Macaca fascicularis: one gene and its partner. The protein of the gene in region 2 interacts with the protein of the main gene of each other region in a biochemical or structural test. Links are inferred from orthologs where the notes say so. Each region holds a gene or a part of one and is shown on either strand. Other genes may lie near its edges. The genes, in order: UBR1 and UBE2B.

Evidence for each region.
Region 1: the proteins of UBE2B (region 2) and UBR1 form a complex in vitro, tested with the Homo sapiens proteins (2 studies listed by BioGRID and IntAct, with this or other methods). The link is inferred for Macaca fascicularis from reciprocal best matches to the Homo sapiens genes UBE2B and UBR1.

The regions. Positions count from the first base shown.
Region 1 is NC_088381.1:19,608,733-19,612,551, forward strand, and holds part of UBR1 (E3 ubiquitin-protein ligase UBR1), read right to left. Parts: intron 3,640-3,819; coding exon 3,546-3,639; exon of another isoform or gene 3,476-3,545; intron 2,412-3,475; coding exon 2,262-2,411; intron 1-2,261. UniProt on the Homo sapiens protein: E3 ubiquitin-protein ligase which is a component of the N-end rule pathway. Recognizes and binds proteins bearing specific N-terminal residues that are destabilizing according to the N-end rule, leading to their ubiquitination and subsequent degradation.
Region 2 is NC_088380.1:140,910,859-140,914,777, forward strand, and holds the start of UBE2B (ubiquitin-conjugating enzyme E2 B), read left to right. Parts: upstream 1-1,138; 5' UTR 1,139-1,267; coding exon 1,268-1,311; intron 1,312-3,440; coding exon 3,441-3,521; intron 3,522-3,919. UniProt on the Homo sapiens protein: E2 ubiquitin-conjugating enzyme that accepts ubiquitin from the ubiquitin-activating enzyme E1 and transfers it to a E3 ubiquitin-protein ligase. In vitro catalyzes 'Lys-11'-, as well as 'Lys-48'- and 'Lys-63'-linked polyubiquitination.

The DNA of each region.
Region 1 (3,819 bases), on a different chromosome or scaffold from region 2:
TAGAAAGAACTGCTCTGAAGCATCTGATCCTTAAAGACATCAAAGAAAGAAGTAGCTAAATACTCTGTTAGAGAACAATTTACATAGTTTAATAATCCTATTTGGGGGAGCCACTGTGCAAAAAAGGCTTGTACAAGAAGTTGGAAAGTCACTTTATTACGATTTCCTTTATCTTTGTCTTCTGCTGTACAGTTAGGTAAGGCTTTGGAGTCAGGAGTCAGGTCTGGGTTTGAATCTTAGATCTGTCTTAGGACAAATAAAAACTATCCATAGTCTCCAATTCCTTTAAATGGAAATAATAGTACCTACTTCACTAGACTACTGTGAGAATTAAATAAGATAATAAGATAATGCAGCATTTGCTTTGCAGAATGCCTAAAATATATTAATTACTCAAATCAAGGATAATTCTTTCTCATGTTACCAAATATGTTGAAGAAGACAATTTGAATTTAGGTGTATCAATGACATGGAATAGTAGAGATCAGAACAACTCTTTATTTATTTATTTATTTATTTATTTATTTATTTTTGACGAGAGTGTCGCTCTGTTGCCCAGGCTGGAGTGCAAAGGCATGGTATCGGCTCACTGCAACCTCCGCCTCCCGGGTTCAAGCAATTCTCATGTCTCAGCCTCCCGAGTAGCTGGGATTACACGCATGTGCCACCACGCCAGGTTAATTTTTGTATTTTTAGTAGAGACGGAGTTTTGCCATATTGGCCAGGCTTGTCTCAAACTCCTGATCTCAGGTGATCTGCCTGCCTCAGCCTCTCAAAGTGCTGGGATTACAGGTGTGAGGCACTGTGCCCAGCCAAGGTTAGAGCAATTCTTTTTTTTTTTGAGACAGAGCCAGGCTGTAATGCAATGGCTAGATCTCGGCTCACTATAACCGCAGCCTCCCAGGTTCAAGCGATTCTCCTTGGCTCAGCCTCCCAAGTAGCTGGGATTATAGGCACCCACTACCACACCCAACTACTTTTTTTGTATTTTAGTAGAGACGGGTTTTACTATGTTGGCCAGGCTGGGCTCAAACTCCTGACCTCGTGATTCGCCCACCTCAGCCTCCCAAAGTGCTGGGATTACAGATGTAAGCCACCACGTCCCGCCGGAACAACTCTTTATATTGACCCTTCTCGCCAAACCTATCACCTTTGAACTTTTATGGGGACATAAAGGTATTTTTATCAACAAAACAATTTTCTGTAGCAGAATTCAGGTTTCTCATTATAAATTCATTGCATTTTAAAGCAACTGAAATAATATAAATATTATAGTACTGTCATCCTCATGTAGAACAGTGAGAATATAGAAATATATAATTAAATTTCCAAGTTGTCATACAAAAACTAATAATTTGCTGTTAAATTCCATTTACAGATCAGAATATAAAAATTTAAAAACTCAGAATATAAAATATATAAAATATATCAGAATATACAAATTTAAAAGAGATATCTATAAAATGATATATATATATTATATATATAAAATGAATCTAGTGTTTTTGTTTAATTTTTTTAGTTAACATTTGTCCACATCTCTAGAGCTATAGCATTTGGATCTTCAGAAAAATGAAATTAAAAATAATACAAGGATCATTCGAGCTATCAGACTCCAACTGGCAAATCTAATGATGGCAAAGGGCCATATGAAAGGAATGAATTTTTTTTGCATCTTTTCTCCTTTTGTGAGTGCTAAGGCAGAGTTCAGAGTTCTATTGCTTTAATGGCTGCTGGAAAATATAACCACAATATATAGATTCAAGTAAATAAACATTATAGTTCTCTGAGAGTCCAAAAAAATTAGGCTTTTGATCACATTTTAAAAGTATAACACAAGATATAAAATGAAAAAGTATTAATTCCTTTGAAGAATAAAAAAGTTATCTAACAAAAACAGGCACAAATTAAAGAACTAAAGACAACTTTCTATTTGTTTTTGAGACAGGGTCTCACTCTGTCACTCAGGCTGGAGTGCAGTGGCGCAATCTCGGCTCACTGGAGCTTCAATCTCCTGGGCTCTAGTGATTCTGCCACCTCAGCCCGCTCAAGTAACTGGGTCTACAGGCATGTGCCACCACGCCTGGCTAACTTATTATTATTATTATTTTTTGTAGAGATGGGGTTTTACCGTGTTACCCAGGCTGGTCTCGAACCCCTGAGCTCTGGCAATCCACCCACCTCGGTCTCCCAAAGTGCAAGGATCACAGGCCACTGCACCTGGCCAACTTTTTAAAAATTAACCAAAACATAAAATATACCTGTTTATCTTTTGAGGTTGCAAAGGAATAATGGGGATCACAGTATTGCACAGAGATTTGCAAAGAGGGCAAAGATATTCTCCACTTTCCAAGTCAAAAAGGTCAACATGAATGCGCTGCTGAGAGCTCAGCTGTACAGCTTCAAAATATCTGCAAAATTACAAAGATACAGGCCCATTTAGAACTACACATGCATCTCTATATGTGTATCTCTACTTGCTCTAATCCAAGTTTTAAAAATCTAGAATTTTTGCCTCAATAAACATCTTTAGAACATACATGCAAAAACACACAAGTTGTAATCATAGAAGAAAGAGGTTGCCTATTATTTTGGGAATAAATTGGAAAATATATCAGAGCAGATATAAATTTTAAATAAGTTTATTGAATCATAACTCATCTCTTGCCTCAAAAGCATGGTGATACAGCATGGACACTACTTTCCTCAGTTTCTAATGATGAACTGAAGTAGTGAGGGCTATCTTGGAAAAATTATATATTGTAATCTAATGCCAAATGGGTAAACTCTACACAAAAGATTTCTCAGGAATTACATTTTTGAATTTTTGTAGTTTCCAGAGATAGAATGAGAACTTCTTGTCCTATTCATCCTATTCTATTTCAAAGGTACTTTTCACAGCAGTATGTTTTGAGGGAAATTAGATTTTTATAAAGATTACTTACTTATTATTTATTTGTTGTACTTATTAATTTTTTTGAGACTACGTTTCGCTCTTGTCTCCCAGGCTGGAGTGCAATGGCGCAATCTCGGCTCACTGGAACCTCCACCTCCCGGGTTCAAGCGATTCTCTCCTGCCTCAGCCTCTTGACTAGCTGGGATTACAGACATGTGCCACCACACTCAGCTAATTTTTGTATTTTTAGTAGAGACAGGGTTTTACCATGTTGGCCAGGCTGGTCTCAAACTCCTGACCTCAGGTTATCCTCCCACCTCGGCCTCCCAAAGTGCTAAGATTACAGGTGTGAGCCACCACGCCCAGCCAATCATTACTTTTTTTACATGAATACTGATGAAGAGCAACTGATTAGTTTATGGAGAGCAAGCACAAAGGAACAGTGAAAATCTAAAGTTGGTAACTTTACACACCACTTTCCAACTTTGATAATAATAATTCATGCAAACAGAATTAGTAATTAAAACTGTTTCAGTCATTCAAAGAAGAAGAAAGGAAAGAAGACATGAGAAAACATGCCTTTTTGTGGCCTTGAGTGAACTTCAATGTTCCTAGTCTCTTTCAAGAACATGTCAGAAGGACAACTTACTTCTGCCAGCACACTGCATGCATTACATGACCACAGCTTCCTGTGTAAGTTCCATATGCCAAGTCTGGATCCATGAAAAGTGGGTCTAGGGTTTCTGGTACAAGGCATAAAAAGGAGGGAAAAAGAAAGACAGGTTATCAGGTCTAAAGTCTAATCACAAACTGTCTTAGGAATGTCCAAGCAAAGTGTCACAATATCATAATAGGATATATAGTAACAAAAAAAGTAATAGTAACAAAAGAGAAAAGCATAAAGCTAACCTGTCAGATATGAT
Region 2 (3,919 bases):
GGAGGTCAACACCTCTGAACCCCCTGGTGGTGGGGGGGCACTTCTCGCCCATTTGCACCTTTCTTGCTAGTGTAAAAAACCTGAAGTTGTCTCAGGCTGGATAGATAACCCTCACTCAGGTCTGCTGGAGCTCTCCCCCACATATGAATCATATTTGTAGGTTTCTTTGACAACCAACCACTCATTGATATGCTTGGAAGACTGCACCCCCACATTCTTAAAAATACAATGGTACTCCCCCCCATAGGCAAGTCCCCGGACTCTGACACATATCTTCAATTGAAAGCAGACCCAGAAAGGAAAAACTGCATAATACACCATCCTTTAATGTTTGCCCAGAATTTCCAATACTAGAAACCCCACTGCAAAGCAGAAAGACTATTTGGTAGCTTCAAGGAACCATTTCAGGAGATTGTTGTGTGGCCCTCAGTATTCAATGCTGCCTTAGAAGATCTTGCGATCCTCTCTCTTCTTGCCCCAAGTACCAGAGTTCATAAGCCACTGAACCAACCAGAGGGGAGTTATTTTTGGTCCCGGTTTAAAGAAAACAAAACAAGCTGTTGATCCTCCCACGACCTCTTGGGTAATGTCTCTATACCTGTGATAAACCGAAAACAACTAATAAAGGTGTATCCAGCCCTCACCCTCTTAGACCCGCTTCACAGACCTGGCCGAAACTCACATCCAGGCGAGGCTCTCACGTGACCCGTTCTAAACGCGTCACAGGGACACGTGGTTCTAGATACTTCTCCCCCTCCCCCTCAGGGGTGGATTGTTGACAAGGCCGCGGGCAGTCACGTGATCTTACATCATCCCACCTCCTTTCCCTGAAATCCCTGGCCCGGATACGTCCTTCTTTCTCCACCCCGCCGAGCCTAAACTAGAGACGGGGAGGCAGACAGGATAGTGTGTCGGTTTCGTGGTCTCTGAATCCACAACCTCTAGTCTGAACACAGAGAACACAAATTTGTCGATCACTTCAGGAAGCCCAGGAAGAACCACGCCCCGCTGAAGGGCTCAGGGAACGCGCGCTCCCCCGTCCCGCCCCCTCCTCCCCCAGCACTCACTCTGTGGTAGCGGCGGAGGGCGGAGGGATCCGGAGGCGGCGGAGGGAGACGTCATTGCAGGGTTGTTTGTCAGTCTTGGCGGCGGCGGCGGCGGCGGCGGCGGCAGCGGCGATCCACAGTGATTCGGCCGCCGCGCCGGGGGGTGGGGGGGCTGCGCGGGACTCTTTTCTTTCAGACTGACCGCGGGGCAGCTGCGGAGCATGTCGACCCCGGCCCGAAGGAGGCTTATGCGGGATTTCAAGCGGTAAGGGCCTTCAGCTTCGCATAGATGACGGCCTCTCAAAGCTGCGGGGCTGCAGGGCGTGGATCCCGGACACCTTCCCCTTGTGACCCTCAGAGGGCCGGCTGTGGGCCCAGGGGGACTGGCGGAAGCCGGGTCCTACCTCGGCCCCTACTCTCCTTATCCTTGCCGCTCGCTCTGGCGCCCGAAGAAATTTCGATACTGCTTCCCCTCCCCCCAAAAAGTAAAACGATGTCGATCGACTGGTCTAGGGTTCCCCGCTGCCCATTTCGGCCAGCTGCCCGGGGTCTCGTCCAGGGGATCAGACGGGGATCAGACATCATCCTCCCGCCCCTGCACCCTGCGGAGACCCTTTCTTGTCCCCTCAAAGTGAGCTCCCGCGGGAGCTTGTTCTTCTCCGGCAGCACCAGTCAGCTTTGTTTCACGGCCCCTCAGTCTTCTCCGAGGAGCCGGGTTGGGGTGAACCTCCCCAGCCCCCCACCCTCGCCAGTCCTTTCCATTTCTGCCGTGAGGGTGGGGTCCAGTGCGTGAGGCTCGGAGGTTAACCCATCCCCCGAAACCCGACTCTGTCCCCGCCCGCCTGAAAAGACCTTGGGAACTGACTTAGAGATCTGGGACCTTAGAGCTGGCCACCCCGGCTGCCAGTGCCTTCTGGAACTCAGATCTGGCTGGTGAAGAAAGCCCTATCTATAGCCTCCCGAGTCTGGAAAAATGCCTTCCCTTAGACTGGCGCTAATTTGATACTCCCTGGGCCTTCTTTGGTAAATAAAATAGGGTTTTGTTAGGAGGTATTGGGGTTGTGAGGAAGAAAATGATTATTCCGTTAGTTTACCTTTTATTGGATACTTAGAGACGTAGAAAAAACAAAATAACGTAGAAAAAACAAAATAAGTGAGAAAACATTTTGATATTCTGCACATTTTTCTTAAAATTTTTTCTGGGGACACCTACCCTAATTGAACAAAATAGCATAAAAACATAGATTTGTCGCTCAGGAAGTCACCTCTCAGCTATTATAAAGCCTATGTGAGGCATTTGGATTTGGCCAACTTATTTAATTCATTCGTAGCTTCTCTTAGCCATTTAAAGGTAGGCGTCAAGCAGTGCAGTTCCTCTAAGGCTTCTGTTTGTGGTGGCCTAATTTGCTTGAGATTGACTAAAAACCTTTTTTTTTATGTGGACTAGTTGCAAATTATGATGCCCCATGAAAACAACTCCATATGTATTTGTGAGTGTGTATAATGTAGCATTTTTAATTGAGGTTACAGTCTCTGAAAGGAGATGCCCTTTTTGGTGCAAAAGTCATTTTTCTAAAGCTTGAAATCAGTGTATCTGATTAGCACTCATGACTAAAATTCAGATAGTAAACTAGTTCATGTCATTGTCGCCCTGGCTCCTTACTGTAATGCTCTGCTTAATTCTGAGTTGAATACATGGCACCTTTTGTAGTTTTCCAGAGATCTATAGGTTACAAGAATTTGACTATGACGAATGTGGGAAAGCCTTGTATTGAGTCTCCTGATTTGAGAGGTAGATTTGATGTTAGTGCAGAGCCTTTAAAATAGGGACTGGCGGAAAACCTACTGATTACTTTTTAAAGCCATTGCTGTTTGAAGCAAAAGGGATAGAGTAAATCTGCTGCCTAATACTAGTTTCCTAGTTAAATTTAATGTGTTTTCAGTCATTTCGTGTTTACACTGAGGTTTGCTTTTTTTTTTTTTCTTGTAGCCATTTTGCAGAAGTAGCCGTGGTTAGGATACACAGTCTTTGCATGTTTAGAGCAGCAAAATCAATGGTTCTGTAAAAATATTACTTGCTTTTGAGGTTTTAAACTTTTTTTGGTATAAGAGGACAGTCTATATACATCAATTCTTGAAGAGATACTCTTGATAATATTGAAAGAGGGATGATTCTCAAGCCCTTCGGATTTTTAGGTAATTTGGAGAGGTATTTAATAAGTATATATACCTGGTTAATATATCTAAGTCATATGGTTCATTTTAGTTCACAATAACAAGGAAATGGAGTTAGTCTGTGTCTCAAAATAGATGGTGTAGTGTCTGTAGGTGTTTATGTGGCCTCCTTAGTGGCCTTAATGTTCAACTTTTTAAATTACAACGCTGGATTTCTAGGTTACAAGAGGACCCACCTGTGGGTGTCAGTGGTGCACCATCTGAAAACAACATCATGCAGTGGAATGCAGTTATATTTGGGTGAGTTGAAAGGTTTAACAAATAATAGGTGTGTGCTGAATCTTTAAGAAAAGTGAACATATAACAACTGTCTAGGAAAAGAAACTGAGGTAGAATGAGAGATCTTAAGGACTAAAACTGCAAGATAAATTAGAAAAAAATTTTTTTCAATTAGAGTTTTGGCCCAGCACAGTAGCTCAACGCCTGGGAGGATCGCTGGAGCCCAGGAGTTCATCACCAGCCTGGGCGATATAGTGAGACAGTGAGACTCTGTCCCCTCTCCACCAAAAAAAGAGTTTTGGCCCAGTCTGGGCAACATAGTGAGAGACCTTGTCTCTACAAAAAGTATAAAACTAACTGGGCATGGTGGTGCCCAGCTACTTGGAAGGCCGAGGCAGGAGGATCACTTGAGCCCAGAA